Kluyveromyces lactis: one gene and its partners. The protein of the gene in region 3 purifies or fractionates together with the protein of the main gene of each other region. This does not show direct contact. Links are inferred from orthologs where the notes say so. Each region holds a gene or a part of one and is shown on either strand. Other genes may lie near its edges.

Region 1 (5,427 bases), about 460 kb from region 3:
TGTTTGGATTAAACTTGCTCATATAGGAGAGTTTCAACTCCATTCCAATAACCCGATGACCGCAGGTTCTCTAAAATCGAAATACTCTGATACAGTGTTTTGCAGGTCCACGAGTATTTATGGTAGTGAGGAGAATCCATTACACTTGACTGGCGGTGAACACAAGTTTCCATTCTCTTGTAAAATTAATGGTAAGAACTTGGTGAGCTCGATAGATTTTAAGAAGGGTTCCATAAGATATTGGGTTCAAGCAGAGCTTCATGCCCAAAAGACGCCTCCTATCTTTTGCAAGCAGCATTACCAGTTGATTGTGCCAATAGACGTCGGCCAATTACCAAAGCCAAATATCAAGACGGTGGTCTTACAATCACCCAACTCAAGCAATAATGGAATCCATGTTAGAAGACTTATGGCAGCAGGTTCTGCAGACCCACAAGACGGGGCTTCGTCTCTGACTAGGAAAACAGGCGGATCCTCTACTATCACTAATGGTTCATCAAGCTCAAATAATTCAGGTAATTCCAACGCTTCCATGCTCGCTGATAACAAGACTGTCAAGATCTCGGTAGAGATTCCCTGTCTAGGATACACCATCGGAGAAGAAATTCCGGTTAAAGTCCACGTCACTCATTACAAACAATACTTCCACCCTGCGGGGTTGATTGCAACGTTGGTCAGAATCTCTCGGGTTTCAAACCCTAGAAATACAGAACAGATCGAAACATTTAGAAAAGATATCTGTCAAGGTGTTGCCCCATTATATACAGACCCCGAAACGCATGAAGCTGTTATAATGTTGAAACTAAAGGTTCCATTAGACACCTTCCCGAGTTTGGATTTAAAGAATAAGTTCTTCACTTTCCAGTATTACGTGGAGATCCTAGCAAATTTGTCAAGGAAGAATTTGGTATACACAGAGTCCAATAGACTTGTGGGTGGACAGAGAACTAGTAGTATACCGATGCCGTCGAACAAGTTTTCGATGTTCCAAGACCTCTCAAACCAGGGTGAGGTTACTGCTGGCGAAGATGATTCAGTAACGTTTTTCCAAGATTTGATTAATGTAGACAGACTCAAACGTCTAAGAAACGTTACAGGTATGTCAATCGAAGTTGTGATCGGAACACACAGAGAAGAACATGAGCCTGAATCGCCCACAGTGGACCGTCTGGATTCCCATTCTATCAACCAATTACCTGATGATGTGGATGCAGTTTACAACCAATGCTCTAGCGCTGAATCTCCAATAGACGAAGCTTACGACTATTTGTTACATAGACATAACGGGCCATCACCTTCCTCTCGTATCTTCACGGATACGGATATGACTTTGTGCTATCCGGCTGACCCTGTTCCACTGTATAGTCGTGGATTAGATGACTTCACTGGGTGTTCAATGTCAGGTGTTACAGATGATAAACAAGAACTAGAGCAAATGCGGTTGAAAGAATTGGAAAGCGAACCGCCCATATAATAAAAACAGTTATGAATAAGTTATCTCATAAAACTATATATAAGATATAATGCATACCCTAATCAATATACGTCGACAAGAGATCCCTTTGCCTGAAACGAGTAATGAGAACACATATTCTGGCATCAATGATCATTTAATATTTAAAGAACTCAAAATGACTTTCCAAGTTGAATTTAGTAATACCGTTTAAACAATGCACAATTAATAATTATTTGTTTGGTATATAAAACGCCATTACAGGTGTCATTTTTCGACCCAGCAATTACCGAGAGTTGCTATCAATGAGATCGTCTACCCCAAATTTGCGGACTGAAATGATGATAGAAGCAATGTTAATTATGATGTTTTCAGGTATTTCCCTTTCACGTGACGTTATATGCCTGTAGTTGATTTTTCGTCAGAAAAAAAAAAACTACTAAATTGTATGAAGATGGAATAAGTATGTTTGCAGAATACCAGATAAAATATCACGGTGGCCAATTCTTTTTGATCATCCTCTACTTCCAACAAAGTTAGCAACAGTCCGCCAAACATCAAGTAAGAATGAGCGTTCCGATTTTTGGGGATCAAGTTACCGAAGAAAGGGCTGAAAATGCTCGTATGAGTGCTTTTGTCGGTGCCATCGCTGTAGGTGATTTGGTGAAAACTACTCTAGGACCAAAAGGTATGGACAAGCTACTTCAAAGTGCATCTAACAACACTAGCATGGTAACAAATGATGGTGCTACTATTCTTAAATCGATTCCATTGGACAATCCCGCCGCTAAAGTTCTTGTGAACATTAGTAAAGTCCAAGATGATGAAGTTGGTGACGGTACTACCAGTGTTACAGTTTTAAGTGCTGAGCTATTGAGAGAGGCTGAGAAATTGGTCGAACAAGGAAAAATCCACCCACAAACCATTATTGAAGGTTTCAGAATTGCATCTGCGGCTGCTCTATCAGCATTGGAGAAGGCCGCTGTGGATAACTCGAATAATAAGGAAGAGTTCTACAACGATTTGATCAGCATTGCAAACACGACACTTTCATCTAAAATTTTGTCTCAAGATAAAGATCATTTCTCAAAATTGGCAACAGATGCCATTCTCAGATTGAAGGGTTCCACCAATTTGGAACATATTCAAATTATCAAGATCATTGGTGGTAAGCTTTCTGATTCTTTCTTAGATGAAGGATTTATCTTACCAAAAAGATTTGGTAGCAACCAGCCAAAGCGCGTGGAAAATGCTAAAATTTTGATTGCCAACACTTCTCTAGATACTGACAAGGTCAAGATCTTTGGTACCAAGTTCAAGGTTGATTCTACGTCTAAGCTTGCAGAATTAGAGAAAGCTGAACGTGAAAAAATGAAAAAGAAGATTGAAAAGATTGCTAATTTCAACATCAACACGTTCATCAACAGACAGTTGATATACGACTACCCTGAACAAATGTTTACAGATCTAGGAATTAACTCCATTGAACATGCTGATTTTGAAGGTGTGGAACGACTAGCACTTGTGACTGGTGGTGAAGTTGTTTCGACATTTGACAATCCAGAAAAATGTAAACTTGGTGAATGTAAGCTCATCGAGGAAATCATAATCGGTGAAGAAACTTTCACAAAGTTCAGTGGTTGTAAATCTGGTGAAGCTTGTACTATTGTACTAAGAGGTGCAACCGAACAAGTATTAGACGAAGCTGAAAGATCTCTACATGATGCTTTATCTGTCCTTTCACAAACAACAAAAGAAACCAGAACTGTTTTGGGTGGTGGTTGTGCCGAAATGATTATGTCAAAAGCTGTTGACACAGTAGGGCAAAATGTTGAAGGTAAGAAAGCACTTGCTGTAGAATCTTTTGCAAAAGCCCTAAGACAATTGCCTACTATTCTTGCGGACAACGCTGGTTTCGATAGTAGTGAATTGATCACAAAGTTAAGATCTTCGATTTACAACGGCATGAGTACATCAGGTTTGGATTTGGATAACGGCACCATTGCTGACATGAGAGAACTAGGGATCGTGGAAAGTTATAAATTGAAAAGAGCTGTAGTAACCTCAGCCAGCGAAGCAGCCGAAGTCCTCTTGAGAGTGGATAATATTATCAGGGCTAAACCAAGAACAGCCGATAGACAGCACGGTCATATGTAAATTAATTAAATTAGTACTAAGCAATCACCACAAACGTTTAAATTTCGTTCTAATATCCAAAAAGTTAAGCTAAGAAGTGAATTATCATTATACATGAAACAACGTAGTTCAAAATTTACTCCAGAAAGTATATAGGGTAGGTCAATAACCTCAGTAAAGAGATTGCACCTCTATCTTCAAATTATGCAGTTCCGACTTCTTTGTTTTCAGGTACTCCTCCAACATTTGTACTTGCTGCTCAATACTCTCTATATCATCCCTCAAACCTCCAACATCAACGCTTTCTGAAGAAGTATTGGAATTATTGACAAGGTTTTTTTGGTATTCCAAGAACTGTTCTAACTGTTGTTTTACTAATTTCATTCTATCATTTGAGTCATTATGAGAGGTGGATTGTTGCTGTGCTGACGATAATTCAGAGTCAATATTTGCCAATTCCCTTTGAAGTCTGACTACTTCCCAATCAGTTCCCTGAGTAACAGAAAAATCAGTACCACCACGTTTTGGTATTTGGTAAGATGAAGAGTTAGATGTGGATAGTGTTGGCCTTCTTACTTCGCTCTGCTTGGAAGACAAATCCGTGGAAACTCTAGTCTTTGTAAAAGTTTCTTTCAATGCTGAAGGTAAATGTGATGGTATTGGGCAAGCATAGTCGTTCACTTGTCTCAGAATATGAATAAAGTATAGTGCTGGATCCTTATCTATGGAAGTGTCAAGCTTAGGATTAACCAAACGCCACGTTTTTTCTAAATCTTGAGATGATAGATTGATATACTTCGATCTAACGGCGGAGGATAGTGAAACATAAGATACACTATTGTCTCTAGAGGTTATGGCTGATTCATAAATTGATTCGTATTGTGACTTATCATCTCTTGATATATACCAATCAACTTCTTTTTGATAATCGTCTACAGCTGGCGAAGATGTCGGAACATTGACCACAGAACTTGTTTCTGCTGTTCCGCTACTACGTTCAGTTTTTCTTTGTTTGACTAATTCGGCTTTTGAACCGGGAATCAACCAATCTGGCAATTCATCTGGTACAGAATCTATGTTTTTATTAACCATGTCAAATATCATTCTCATACAAATCACAAACTCTTCAAAATCTAGTTGATCATCATCATCGATATCGGCCAAAAACCATATTTTGTTAAGTATCGAGGTGTCCAATTTAGAATTGAAAAGGATAGGCAGTACTTGATCATGGGTCAACTTATTTTCCACCGGTTTCAATCCGGAGAAAATTTGCCAATACTTTTTGATCTCAAATTGTTCAAGCTTTGGCATCTTAAATTGGTATTTGAATTATCTGTGGAGTCAAGCGCGATTAAAATAGAGGTCAGATATCAAATTAACACTGAGCTCAAACGTAATGTTTTCTTTGAAGTATGCCTGCGTTACTCACAATCAGTCAAAGAGACAGGAACAAATAAAACAAGAATATGTTATACCTGCTATCGCTCTAGCGTGTTCTTCGGTTTGAATCGTTTGGAACCTTATCTACTTCAATAAATTGCAATTTAAACCTTTTGGATAGTTCATCGTATTGATCTTAACAGTAATATCACCCATTTCAGTGCTGAAAGAAAATCAAAATTCCATTGACCTACATTACAAAAAGGGGAAGTCACGTTATACGTAACACACGTGACCTTGAATAATAGTCAAACAACCCCTCACGTGACAAGAATTTGTATCTGTTTTTTTTATATCTTTTTGGTGGATGCTACTGGTTTACCCGGTGTTCGCGTTATATCCTATTTTGGTAACACATTTAGAGAAATCGCGAAATGTTTTAAGGATGCCAAAAG
Region 2 (6,179 bases), about 270 kb from region 3:
TATAATAGACAAAATACTTTCCCTCATGCAACCACTCAAGTTCAGTCAGATTCGCAGCAAATAAACTCAGTTTCAACTCCTATATCGAACCCGCTACCTCAACCATCATCGGTATTTAACGATGTTCATTACAACCAAACAGCTACTACTTCACCAGCGAATCACGGGAATCCAATTCCAGGCCCAACGTCAACAATCGCATCAGATCCTTCGAACTTCGTGAACTTTGGTCAATCGTATCCAAACTCATATCAAACCGGCAATATCTGGAGCTGAATCATCCGATCCAACTAAATTATTTAAACGAGTGGATAGAAAAGAGAACATATCCGTTAAAATTTATTCCTTCTTCGTTTTACGTAGAACTGTAACGTCCAATATAAATGTAACAACACTATTATCTTTTTTTTTTCAATCAGACACCATCAATTGATAGATCATCATTGAATATTTGAACTCATTCAAAAACAGGGCTATAATTAATTTTAATAACTAAGCATAGTCCTATCTATTACACTGTCTCATTGATCACTTCTTCCTTTCTTTTTCGGGCTTCTACTGCTCGGCGGAACATGACAGACATTAATATGATATCATTTCGAAAAATAAAAGGCTCTTTGAAAAAGGCTAGAAAAAATGAAACTTGAAAGATAGAAAAATAGAAGGTTTGCTGTTTTAAAGAAATAAGAAACTGATTTCGAAGAATAAACATAGCGTACGCTCGAAGGAAACAAGGTCGAATCTTCCTTTATTTGCATGTATACGTGCCACCCTAATTTTCTATTTGCAATTGGGTACTTGAAAGTTTGAAGCAGTTCTCTGTTCTGGCACGATCTTACACTACGCTGTTTTCCAAACTTTGTCGGTTTTTGAATTTTAGCTATCAACATAATCAAGAAAGACGCAGTATCACTGCAAAACTTATGCAATATCATAAAATATGTCTACCAATCCAGTTAAAAGGAAACTAGTTATTATTGGTGACGGAGCATGTGGGAAAACATCTTTGTTATATGTTTTCACTTTGGGACAGTTTCCAGAAGAATATCATCCAACTGTCTTCGAGAATTATGTAACCGACTGTCGAGTGGACGGTATCAAAGTTCAACTAACACTATGGGACACAGCTGGCCAAGAGGAATATGAAAGACTAAGGCCCTTCTCGTATTCAAAGGCCGATATAATTCTCATTGGTTTTGCAATCGACGACCCGGAATCATTGGTGAATGCAAGAAATAAATGGTCAGAAGAAGTTCTCAGATATTGCCCTGAAGCTCCAGTAGTACTAGTTGGGTTGAAGAAAGACTTAAGATCACCGGATAATGAACATCAGATGGTAACACGGGAGCAAGCGGAGCAAGTTGCCAGGGCCATTGGTGCTAAAAAATATATGGAATGCAGTGCATTGACAGGAGAAAACGTTGATGATGTTTTCGAAGTAGCCACAAGGACAAGTCTCTTGGTAAATAAACAACCAGGTCACGGGTGCTGCGTAATATGTTGATACGAAAGAAGTGCTCATACATAAAAAATAAACTACAAACCAACACATACTATCTAATTCTTCTTTCTGCCGTATCTCGAGGCCGGACACTTTGTCTCGTTTGATCCAGCTAATTCAATGTTTCTAAATTGAAATCGACTCTAAATTAGCCCCCTCGCATAATAATTAATAAATTGGATCTCGTCAACGAATTTTTTGCTGCCTTCAGTATATATATGCAGTATTCTTCTTTGATTTATGTCACTTTTTAATATCAGCTGTAGATATGCCATCTAGTCTCTTTCAAAACGTTTTTTGGTCTTAGTGCGTTTTGTTACGCGTACTTTAATTCTAGAAAAATAAAAACAGGAAAAACATCTAAGGCTTTTGATGAGATCTAATGAACACTTCTATCTTGCGACAGAAGGAGTAGGGAACCAGGTCTTGTGTCTGTTTTATCAATACTGACTAGTACTCTCCTAAAATCTGATTAAATCATTAGCTGTCATTGGAGCTCAGGATTAGTGAAGAGAGCGTTTTTTCTGGTGTGTCTTTTTTGGACGTGTTGCTGATTTAAGAATGACACAGTCAAAGACCGTCTCTGAACGGTATCAGAAGATATCGCAATTAGAGCATATTTTAAAGAGACCAGATACATACATTGGTTCTGTTGAAGTACAGGAATCGCAACAATGGATTCATGATGAAACAACCGATTGTATGATTGAAAAAACTGTAAATATAGTCCCTGGTCTTTTCAAAATTTTCGATGAAATCTTGGTTAACGCTGCAGATAACAAGGTTCGTGATCCTAGTATGAAGAAGATTGATGTTGTCATTAATCAAGAGGAGAATACTATTGAAGTCAAGAATGATGGTAAGGGTATTCCCGTTGAAATTCATGATAAGGAAGGTATTTATATTCCTGAATTAATTTTTGGCCATCTTTTGACATCCTCTAATTACGATGACGATGAGAAGAAAGTTACAGGTGGTAGAAACGGTTACGGTGCTAAGCTTTGTAATATTTTTTCCACAGAATTCATACTAGAGACCGCTGATCCTTCTAGAGGGCATAAATATATCCAAAATTGGGAAAACAACATGTCTACGTGTCATCCGCCTAAAATTACGTCTTACAAGAAAGGTCCATCTTATACAAAGGTCATATTCAAACCAGATCTTCAAAGATTCGGGATGGACAAACTTGACGATGATATAGTTGGTGTTATGAGGCGTCGTGTCTATGATATCAATGGTTCCGTACGTGATGTGAACGTCTCATTGAATGGTAAAGCTTTAAAGATTCGTAACTTCAAAAACTACGTCGAGTTATACTTGAAATCACTAGAGAAGATCAAATTAAATAGACTTAGAGAGTCGAGTACCCCAGATGAACCAATGCAAGAGCCTACTAAAATCCCAACTATCTTATATGAAAGAATTAATGATCGTTGGGAAGTTGCATTTGCAGTATCGGAAAACTCATTTCAACAAATATCATTTGTTAATTCGATCGCCACTACATCAGGTGGTACACATGTTAACTATGTTACAGATCAAATTATAAAGAAAGTATCTGACCGCTTGAAGAAACAAAAGAAGACAATCAAACCTTTCCAAATTAAGAACAACATGTTTATTTTCATCAATTGCTTAATTGAGAACCCTGCATTCACTTCTCAAACCAAAGAACAATTAACGACAAGGGTCAAGGATTTCGGTTCCAAGTGCGAAGTCCCATCAGAATTCATCAATAAAATAATGAAGACTGATCTTGCGACGAAGATCTTTGAAATTGCCGATGAGAATGCTCATAAGCAATTGAAGAAAACTGATGGTTCAAGAAAGAACAGAATTACTGAGTACCCCAAACTTGAAGATGCAAATATGGCTGGAACAAAAGAAGGTTACAAATGTACTTTGGTTCTAACAGAAGGTGATTCTGCCTTGTCTCTTGCAGTTGCTGGGTTGGCTGTCGTTGGAAGAGATTATTATGGATGTTTCCCCTTAAGAGGTAAAATGTTAAATGTTAGGGAAGCGACCCCTGATCAAATCAGTAAGAACGCGGAAATTCAAGCCATAAAAAAAATTATGGGGTTGCAGCATAAGAAGCGGTACGAAGATACTACAACTTTAAGATATGGTCATATTATGATTATGACGGATCAAGATCACGATGGTTCACATATCAAAGGTTTGATCATTAATTTCCTGGAGAGTTCCTTCCCTGGTCTTCTCGATATTCCAGGATTTTTAATAGAATTTATCACACCCATCATTAAAATCACAATCTCAAGACCCAAGAAAGAAACCATTTCTTTCTATAACATGCCAGATTACGAAAAGTGGAGAGAAGAAGAGTCTCACAAGTACACTTGGAAACAGAAGTATTACAAGGGTTTGGGTACGTCGACACAACAGGAAGCACGTGAGTACTTTTCAGGTTTAGATAAGCACTTGAAGAAATTCCATGCCTTGCAAGGTGATGATTCTCAATTAATTGATCTAGCATTTTCAAAAAAGAAGGCGGACGACCGTAAAGAATGGCTAAAATTGTATGAGCCTGGTACTGTATTAGATCCAAAGCTAACAGAGATTCCAATCAGTGATTTTATCAATAAAGAATTAATTCTTTTCTCTCTAGCAGACAACATTAGATCTATTCCCTCTGTTTTAGATGGTTTGAAACCTGGTCAGAGGAAAGTTATCTATGCCTGCTTCAAACGTAATTTGAAAAGTGAAATCAAGGTCGCTCAATTAGGTGGTTATGTTTCAGAACATACAGGGTATCATCATGGTGAACAATCTTTGTATCAAACTATTGTCGGTCTAGCTCAGGATTTTGTTGGTTCCAATAATATTTACTTGTTGAAACCAAATGGTGCCTTCGGTACAAGAGCAACAGGTGGTAAAGATTCTGCTGCGCCAAGATATATCTTCACGGAGCTAAACAAACTTACGAGAAAAATTTTCAATACTCTCGACGATCCATTATTGAATTATATTCAAGATGATGAACAGACTGTAGAACCTGAATGGTATTTACCGGTTATTCCAATGGTTTTAGTAAATGGTACTGAAGGTATTGGTACGGGTTGGAGTACTAATATTCCTCCTTTCAATCCAATGGATATTGTCAATAATGTGAAGCGTCTGATGAAGGGAGAGGAAATGGAGCAGATGGCGCCATGGTACAGGGGATGGCAGGGATCCTTGGAGAAGATAGATCCACAAAAGTATCGTACTTATGGTAGAATCGAACAAATCGATGAAAATACGTTGGAAATAACGGAACTGCCTCCCAAGACTTGGACTTCCGTCATCAAGGAGCATTTACTATTGGGTTTAAGTGGTAATGATAAGGTTAAGCCTTGGATTAAAGACATACAAGAACAGCATGGAGCCACCATCAAGTTTATTATCACCTTGACTTCCGATGAAATGGAGAAGACGAGAAAAATAGGTTTCTATGAAAGATTCAAATTGGTTTCTACGGTAAGTCTCAGCAACATGGTTGCATTCGATCCTCAGGGGAAGATTAAAAAATACGATGATGTTCGTGACATTTTGTCTGACTTTTATTATACTCGACTCACCTATTATCAGAAGAGAAAAGATTATATTGGTGAAAGGCTAAAGTGGGAAGTTGAAAAGCTATCATATCAAGTTAAATTCATTATGATGATCGTTGAGAAAAAGTTATCAGTCAGTAACAAACCTCGTCCAGTCCTCTTCGAAGAATTAATGTCCTTGGGTTTCCCAAGAATCAACAAAGAAGGAAAACCAACCTACGGTAAAGTCGAGGAGCAAGCACAAATAGAAGCATTGAATGACGAAGATGATGATGATGATGACGAAGAGAAAAGCGAAGCAGAAGACAACGCTGAAGAAAGTGAAGATGTTGTAAACGGACCAGAAGAGAAATTTGGTAATTACGACTATTTGTTAGGTATGAAAATCTGGGCTTTGACAAAGGAAAGATATGAAAAGTTAATGAAACAAATGCAAGAGAAACAAACAGAATTGGAACGGCTATTAAAACTTTCTGCTAAAGATTTATGGGAAATTGATTTAGACGACTTCGTAGAACATTACGAAAAATTCATTCAGTACGACGAAGAGGTTCGTAACAGCATCGTTCCCGATGCAGCCACCACCAAGAAGGGTAAGAGAAGAAAGCGCGGTAAAAACGATGACAATGATTCAAAACAACCAAAAAAAAGAGCCAGAAAATCTGTCAAGAGAGAATATGTTGATTTTGAAAGAGTTTTAATCGAACCAAGAGTTATTGAAAAGGTTAAAAGGGTACCAAAAATTAAAACTGAAAACAACGATATTGTAAAGAAACTTTCAAAGGCAAAATCCACTAAACAAACGACCCCAGAGGTCAAAGAAGATCCAGAACCAACCGCCTCTCATGCTAGTACCATCTTTGCAAAGAAGGCGGATTCAGTCTCTAAGGAACCCGAGGAAGACAATGATGAGTTCAGCGTATTTTCCAGTAAATTCAAAAAATTGAGCTCTGCGTTCAATGATAATGGCGATTCCACGTCCGCGTCTCCTATTCCATCCATAGCGTCTAAATCCCAGGATACTGTAGGAATCTCTCCTCTCAAAGACGACGACGACGATGACGAAAAGATTCTAGCAGGCAAGAAAAAGACAACAAGGAAACAAAATTCGCAGACAGCAG
Region 3 (5,399 bases):
TCAATAGCAGAAGTGACTTCCTTTCATTTTCTTGTTCTATTCGTGGTTCCGTTGAGGACCACACTAATTTATCATGCACCGTATAAATAAAAAGTAGCGTAATAATTAAGTAATGATAAAGAAAGCCTATACAAGGCTAAGCAGTAACTCAGAAGAAGAAAGAGACGATTACTGAGGCAGCAAGGAGTGTTGCAAAGAGCCAACGTGTGTTGTTTTTTGGAACCTGGTGGGGTCTTTCTATTAGGGTTTCTAGTTGCATTTTAATTTTTGTCTCATTTTACAATCATCTGAGCCTGTAAGTTTGGCTTTGGTATTAATATCTATTATTGATCGTAAAACTTTAATATCTCCAAAGAGAAGAGGCGCAGAAAGTGGTGAACATTGAGGTCAGATTGACTTAAAAGCATATGATTACACGTACCCAAAACGGCTCGATGTTATTGAATCGAATAAACCATGAACCGTCGAATGATAGTGCAGAGGGATCGTGCAATAGTTTGTTCAAACCGAAGACTTTGAAACGGAAGAATTTGAAGCATTTGACTCTAGAATCATCATGTTCATCATCATCTTCCTCTCCTGACGAAATACCGAAAGGTTTTAGTAATGGAAATGGTCCAACACTCAGTTTGATGTTGGAGAAGCTTCCGGTCCGTGAGGAAATAAGTCCAATTAGCAGAGACACTTCATTCCAGACGGTTTCATTCCTTCAAGGGAGTTCTAGTACATCAGATATATCTTCCATTGTCAGCGGGACTACACCAACCACAAGAGATGCTCCAATGTCACTTACTCCTACAGGAGTCAGTATGATGCAACAGGAGACAGATGAAACGGCCACATTGACTACTCAGATTGCTCGACTTTCTTTAACCCCAGAGAACGGAATTCAACTCGAAAACCTTGTACGATTGAGCAAGATTGGAGCGGGAAATTCGGGTACTGTGGTGAAGACTTTGCATGTACCTGATTCTAGAATCATAGCTAAGAAAACTATACCAGTAGAGAATAAGGAAGTGCTGAAAAATCAACTTGTTAGAGAACTAACCATCATGAAAAATGTTTCAGCCCATGATAACATTGTTGGTTTCTACGGTGCATTTTACAATCCATCCACCACTAACGAAATAGTGATTCTTATGGAATATATGGATTGTGGCTCGTTAGATAAGATTTTGTCAGTTTACAGATCTGATTGCCATAGGAAAAACGTTTCTATATCGTGCAAGACATCGTGGTTCAACGAAATGCCTCTCTCAAGGATCTCCTTTTGTGTTTTAAATGGACTTATCTATCTTTATGACTGCTATAAAATCATTCACAGGGACATCAAACCGTCCAATATATTGATAAACTCGAAGGGAGACGTAAAGATCTGCGATTTTGGTGTCTCTACTACTCTAATTAACTCTCTTGCGGATACCTTTGTCGGAACCTCCACTTACATGTCACCTGAACGTATCCAAGGTGGCAGATATACTACTAAAGGTGATGTGTGGTCATTAGGTCTTATGATCATCGAGCTCAGTAGTGGTGAGTTCCCACTAGGTGGACATCACGACACACCAGAAGGGATTCTTGATCTTTTACAGAGAATTGTCAATGAACCTGCTCCAAAACTGTCAAAAAATGAACATTACTCCATAGAAATGACAGATTTCGTGAACAGGTGTTGCATTAAGGAGGAGAGAGGACGATCATCTTTGAAAGAATTGATATGTCATGATTTCATCTGTAAGTATAACAACAGAGACACTATTGCAAAAGAATTCAGGCATTGGTGCAAAAAAGTGAAGAAGCGGATCAAAGAGGATAAGATGATAAGAAGAGAAGAGACAGAGAGAAGTAAGATCGAAAAAAGACAATTAGAGAAAGCAGCGTTGGCTGTTACAGCCGCAAGGTCTTCGAGTACAAGGCGATGAAATAAATTAAGAAATTGCACTATATTAGGATAAATTGATGTCCTAGTTTGCATCTCATCTCAATAACGATCATTATTACAGGAACGGACTATGGATCAGTAGCATAAAGAATTTATATACAACTTATTTAGGACTTTCATATAGAATCGGAAATATTCACTAATGTCACTAAATCGAAAAACTATTACCAAACCTTATACTTTTTCTCTTTATTCCATAACCATCCTTCCGTTCCTCTATATATTCCGAAGGCAATCAAGGCTCCACCGAATAATCTTGCTGAAGATACCCACCATTTTGGATTCAGTTTTGCGAACTGTTCAACGGTTACACCTTTCTTCTTTTCAGCTTCACCGTATTGGAACGGTTTACCGCTGGCTAGATACCCACCAAATCCCAATGAGAATGCGGTTGCCATTATTTGACATGGAATACAATCTCTTGTCTCTTCATCTGTTAGATCCCTTTGTGCTGGTGGATTAAATAAACTTGTGATATTACTCGACATATTGATTTCTATGACTGTAGCTATAGTCCGAGAATGATATAGGATATCCGGTTCTTATCAGCTACCTGTGAAAGTGAAAGCTCAGTAGTATGATTATCTAGTTCTTCTTTGTTGAAAAGTCATGTCATCGTATCTCATGGATTTCAATATTGCAAAACGAAATTGCAATCAGACATCAAAAGATTTAGCCCATACACGCGTTTTGATTAAAGGATAAGTCATTGAAAATGACCAAAGGTAATCAAAGGTGCCCAAACCGCGTTCAGCAATGGGAGAATTGACTGAATTTCAGAAGAAGCGACTGGAGAATATCAAAAGAAATAATGATCTATTAAAGAAATTGAATTTGAATAACGTCTCTTCACAGATTAAACGCGAAGCTGGCGTTGAAGATGAGCATCTAGATAGAAAACGTAAGAAAAAGGCAGGTAGCGCTAAGAAGGCTGTCAAAAAAGAACCCAAACCAGCTGCAATTCCAACTAGAAGGTCCAGAAGACTCAGAGGTGAAAATGTTGATGGAAACGGTATTCCCAATGTCAATGACAATCAGCTGCTGAAAATGGGTCAAAGTGATAGTACTCCTGAATTAGAAGCAATTGACGAGTTAAAGAACACAGCACTATCTGGAGATGTAAAACTAAGTGATTTGATTAAATCTGAGAATGAGGAAGAATTGCTAGATAAATTTAAGAGCTTTGCTAACAAAAATTTCTCTTCTGGTGATTTCTTCAAAGAGTTACAGCAACAACAGGTTCCAACACCTGAAATAAAACAACTACAAGAAGATTTTGATCTAAAACTATATGATATATTTCAACCCAATGAAATCAAATTAACTGCAGAACGTATTTCTGCGACTTTTTTCCATCCATCAGTTGACAAGAAACTTGTGATTTGTGGTGACACGGCTGGTAATGTTGGTTTGTGGAACGTTCGTGAAACTCAACCTGAGGATGAATTAGAGGAGCCTGATATTACTAAAGTGAAATTATTTACCAAAAATGTAGGAAGAATTGACACATACGCCACGGATAGCAGTAGGTTACTAGCAGCCTCATACGATGGATATTTAAGATCAATTAATCTACAAGATATGAACAGTGAAGAAATACTAGTGTTAAAGAATGAGTATGATGATCCATTAGGGATAAGTGATTTTCAATTCAACTATAATGATCCGAACGTCTTATTCATGACGACATTGAGCGGCGAATTCACTACGTTTGACGTTCGTACCAAACCAACAGAAATTAATTTGAAAAGATTGTCAGACAAAAAAATCGGTTCCTTCAGCATAAACCCTAAGCGGCCCTATGAAATAGCGACCGGATCATTAGATAGAACACTTAAAATATGGGATACAAGAAAAATTGTCAATAAACCAGAGTGGTCACAATACGAAGACTTCGCATCCCATGAAATTGTTGCTACATATGATTCTAGATTAAGTGTCTCCGCAGTATCATATTCTCCGATGGATGAAACATTAGTTTGCAATGGATACGATGACACAATTAGATTATTTGATGTCAGTGGAACACTTCCGGAAGATCTTCAACCAAAACTAACATTAAAACATAATTGTCAAACTGGAAGATGGACAAGTATATTGAAGGCAAGATTCAAGCTTAACATGGACGTTTTTGCTATTGCCAACATGAAAAGAGCAATTGATATATATACTAGCTCAGGTGTTCAACTTGCCCATCTACCGACAGCAACCGTTCCAGCAGTTATCAGCTGGCATCCGACACAGAATTGGGTAGTTGGCGGAAATTCAAGCGGTAAAGCCTTCTTGTTCACTTAATGATCAACGGAATCAGAAGATATAAAAGGACAGTAACGATGAAAAGCTACTTGTACGTTTTTGAGTGTATATATTTTGAGTTTAATTATCATTGATAATAACTAATGCTAAATATCGTTCTTTCTAAAGCGAGGAAAAACGAGTTAGTGTTAGGAGTTATTCGTATAATTTGTTCTGTTTTAATCGTAGTTGAAAAGAAATAGGATATCAGCTCGTTGATAAGCTATTACTTCAATAATATGATAGTGAAATCAAAGATACTATTGAAGTAAATGAGTCAACAATAACCCAGTTGACAGGAAAAAAACTTCGAATCGTAATAACATCCATATGAGAGAATGAGGGGGTAATGCTATGCTAAAGGGGATTCTATCAAAAAAAAGAGCTCTTTAGTTGAGACTGCACGAATGCATTTAGAATGTAAATCATGTTATCAGAATCAAGAGTCTCATTTTTTGTTTGTAAAAGAGCGATGAAACGCGATAAGAGAAAGGGTAAGGCAAAGAAGTAGGTATACCTGATCGACAAATATGACGGTTCATGGTAGGGCACCTGGGATCTCATCCTTATAATAGATCATCAAGTGTCCTTTGAAACCTTCACCGTTAGGATCATAATTACCCTTGGAATCGACCTCGTTTTGACCGAAGTAGAAGTCCAAATAATTTCTGAATCCGAAATACTCGTAAACAGATTTAGCCTTATCAGATATGGCTTCTAAGACCATAGCACAATTCTCTTCATCTGCCCTCTTCTTGTATGAATCAAATATGGCTCTAACGGAGCCTCTGATTTCAGGATGAGTAAGATCCTTACCAATGATGAACAAATAGTAATAACCAATGCCTGGTGGTAACAACTCCTTTGTTCTGCGACCTAACTGAGTGAAGAAAACGTCATTGAACTTTGGATCATTGGTTTCACTTTGATGGAAATGAGTCTTCGGAGTAGTCCAAACGGCGACTGCGTCAAAATTGTTCGCTTCAACAACTTCTGCACCGAAATCATCGTAAAGATGCAAGAAATATTTCAACATGGAGTTGACTCTTTCCTTACTACATTTGTCGGTGATGGGAACGTTGAAGAATTTCTTCATCAAATAATCGTTAGCTGGAGAGTCCGCAAACGCTTTATCTAAACATTTGCTTGCTTTCTCCAAATC

The links. The genes of interacting proteins can lie anywhere in the genome.
Region 1: the proteins of CMR1 (region 3) and CCT2 purify together in Saccharomyces cerevisiae (affinity purification with mass spectrometry; 3 studies listed by BioGRID, with this or other methods). This does not show direct contact. The link is inferred for Kluyveromyces lactis from reciprocal best matches to the Saccharomyces cerevisiae genes CMR1 and CCT2.
Region 2: the proteins of CMR1 (region 3) and TOP2 purify together in Saccharomyces cerevisiae (affinity purification with mass spectrometry; 3 studies listed by BioGRID). This does not show direct contact. The link is inferred for Kluyveromyces lactis from reciprocal best matches to the Saccharomyces cerevisiae genes CMR1 and TOP2.

What each region holds. Positions count from the first base shown.
Region 1 is NC_006039.1:983,593-989,019, reverse strand, and holds CCT2 (chaperonin-containing T-complex subunit CCT2), read left to right. Parts: upstream 1-2,020; coding exon 2,021-3,610; downstream 3,611-5,427. Other genes in the region: RIM8 (Rim8p), read left to right, coding at 1-1,474; END3 (End3p), read right to left, coding at 3,761-4,903. UniProt on the Saccharomyces cerevisiae protein: Molecular chaperone; assists the folding of proteins upon ATP hydrolysis. Known to play a role, in vitro, in the folding of actin and tubulin. In yeast may play a role in mitotic spindle formation.
Region 2 is NC_006039.1:1,182,472-1,188,650, forward strand, and holds the start of TOP2 (DNA topoisomerase 2), read left to right. Parts: upstream 1-2,062; coding exon 2,063-6,179. Other genes in the region: NST1 (Nst1p), read left to right, coding at 1-276; Rho family GTPase RHO2, read left to right, coding at 941-1,504. UniProt on the Saccharomyces cerevisiae protein: Control of topological states of DNA by transient breakage and subsequent rejoining of DNA strands. Topoisomerase II makes double-strand breaks. Essential during mitosis and meiosis for proper segregation of daughter chromosomes.
Region 3 is NC_006039.1:1,447,704-1,453,102, reverse strand, and holds CMR1 (Cmr1p), read left to right. Parts: upstream 1-2,698; coding exon 2,699-4,237; downstream 4,238-5,399. Other genes in the region: mitogen-activated protein kinase kinase STE7, read left to right, coding at 408-1,922; DMO2 (Dmo2p), read right to left, coding at 2,107-2,430; IAT4 (Iat4p), read right to left, coding at 4,776-5,399. UniProt on the Saccharomyces cerevisiae protein: DNA-binding protein that binds to both single- and double-stranded DNA. Binds preferentially to UV-damaged DNA in vitro. May be involved in DNA-metabolic processes.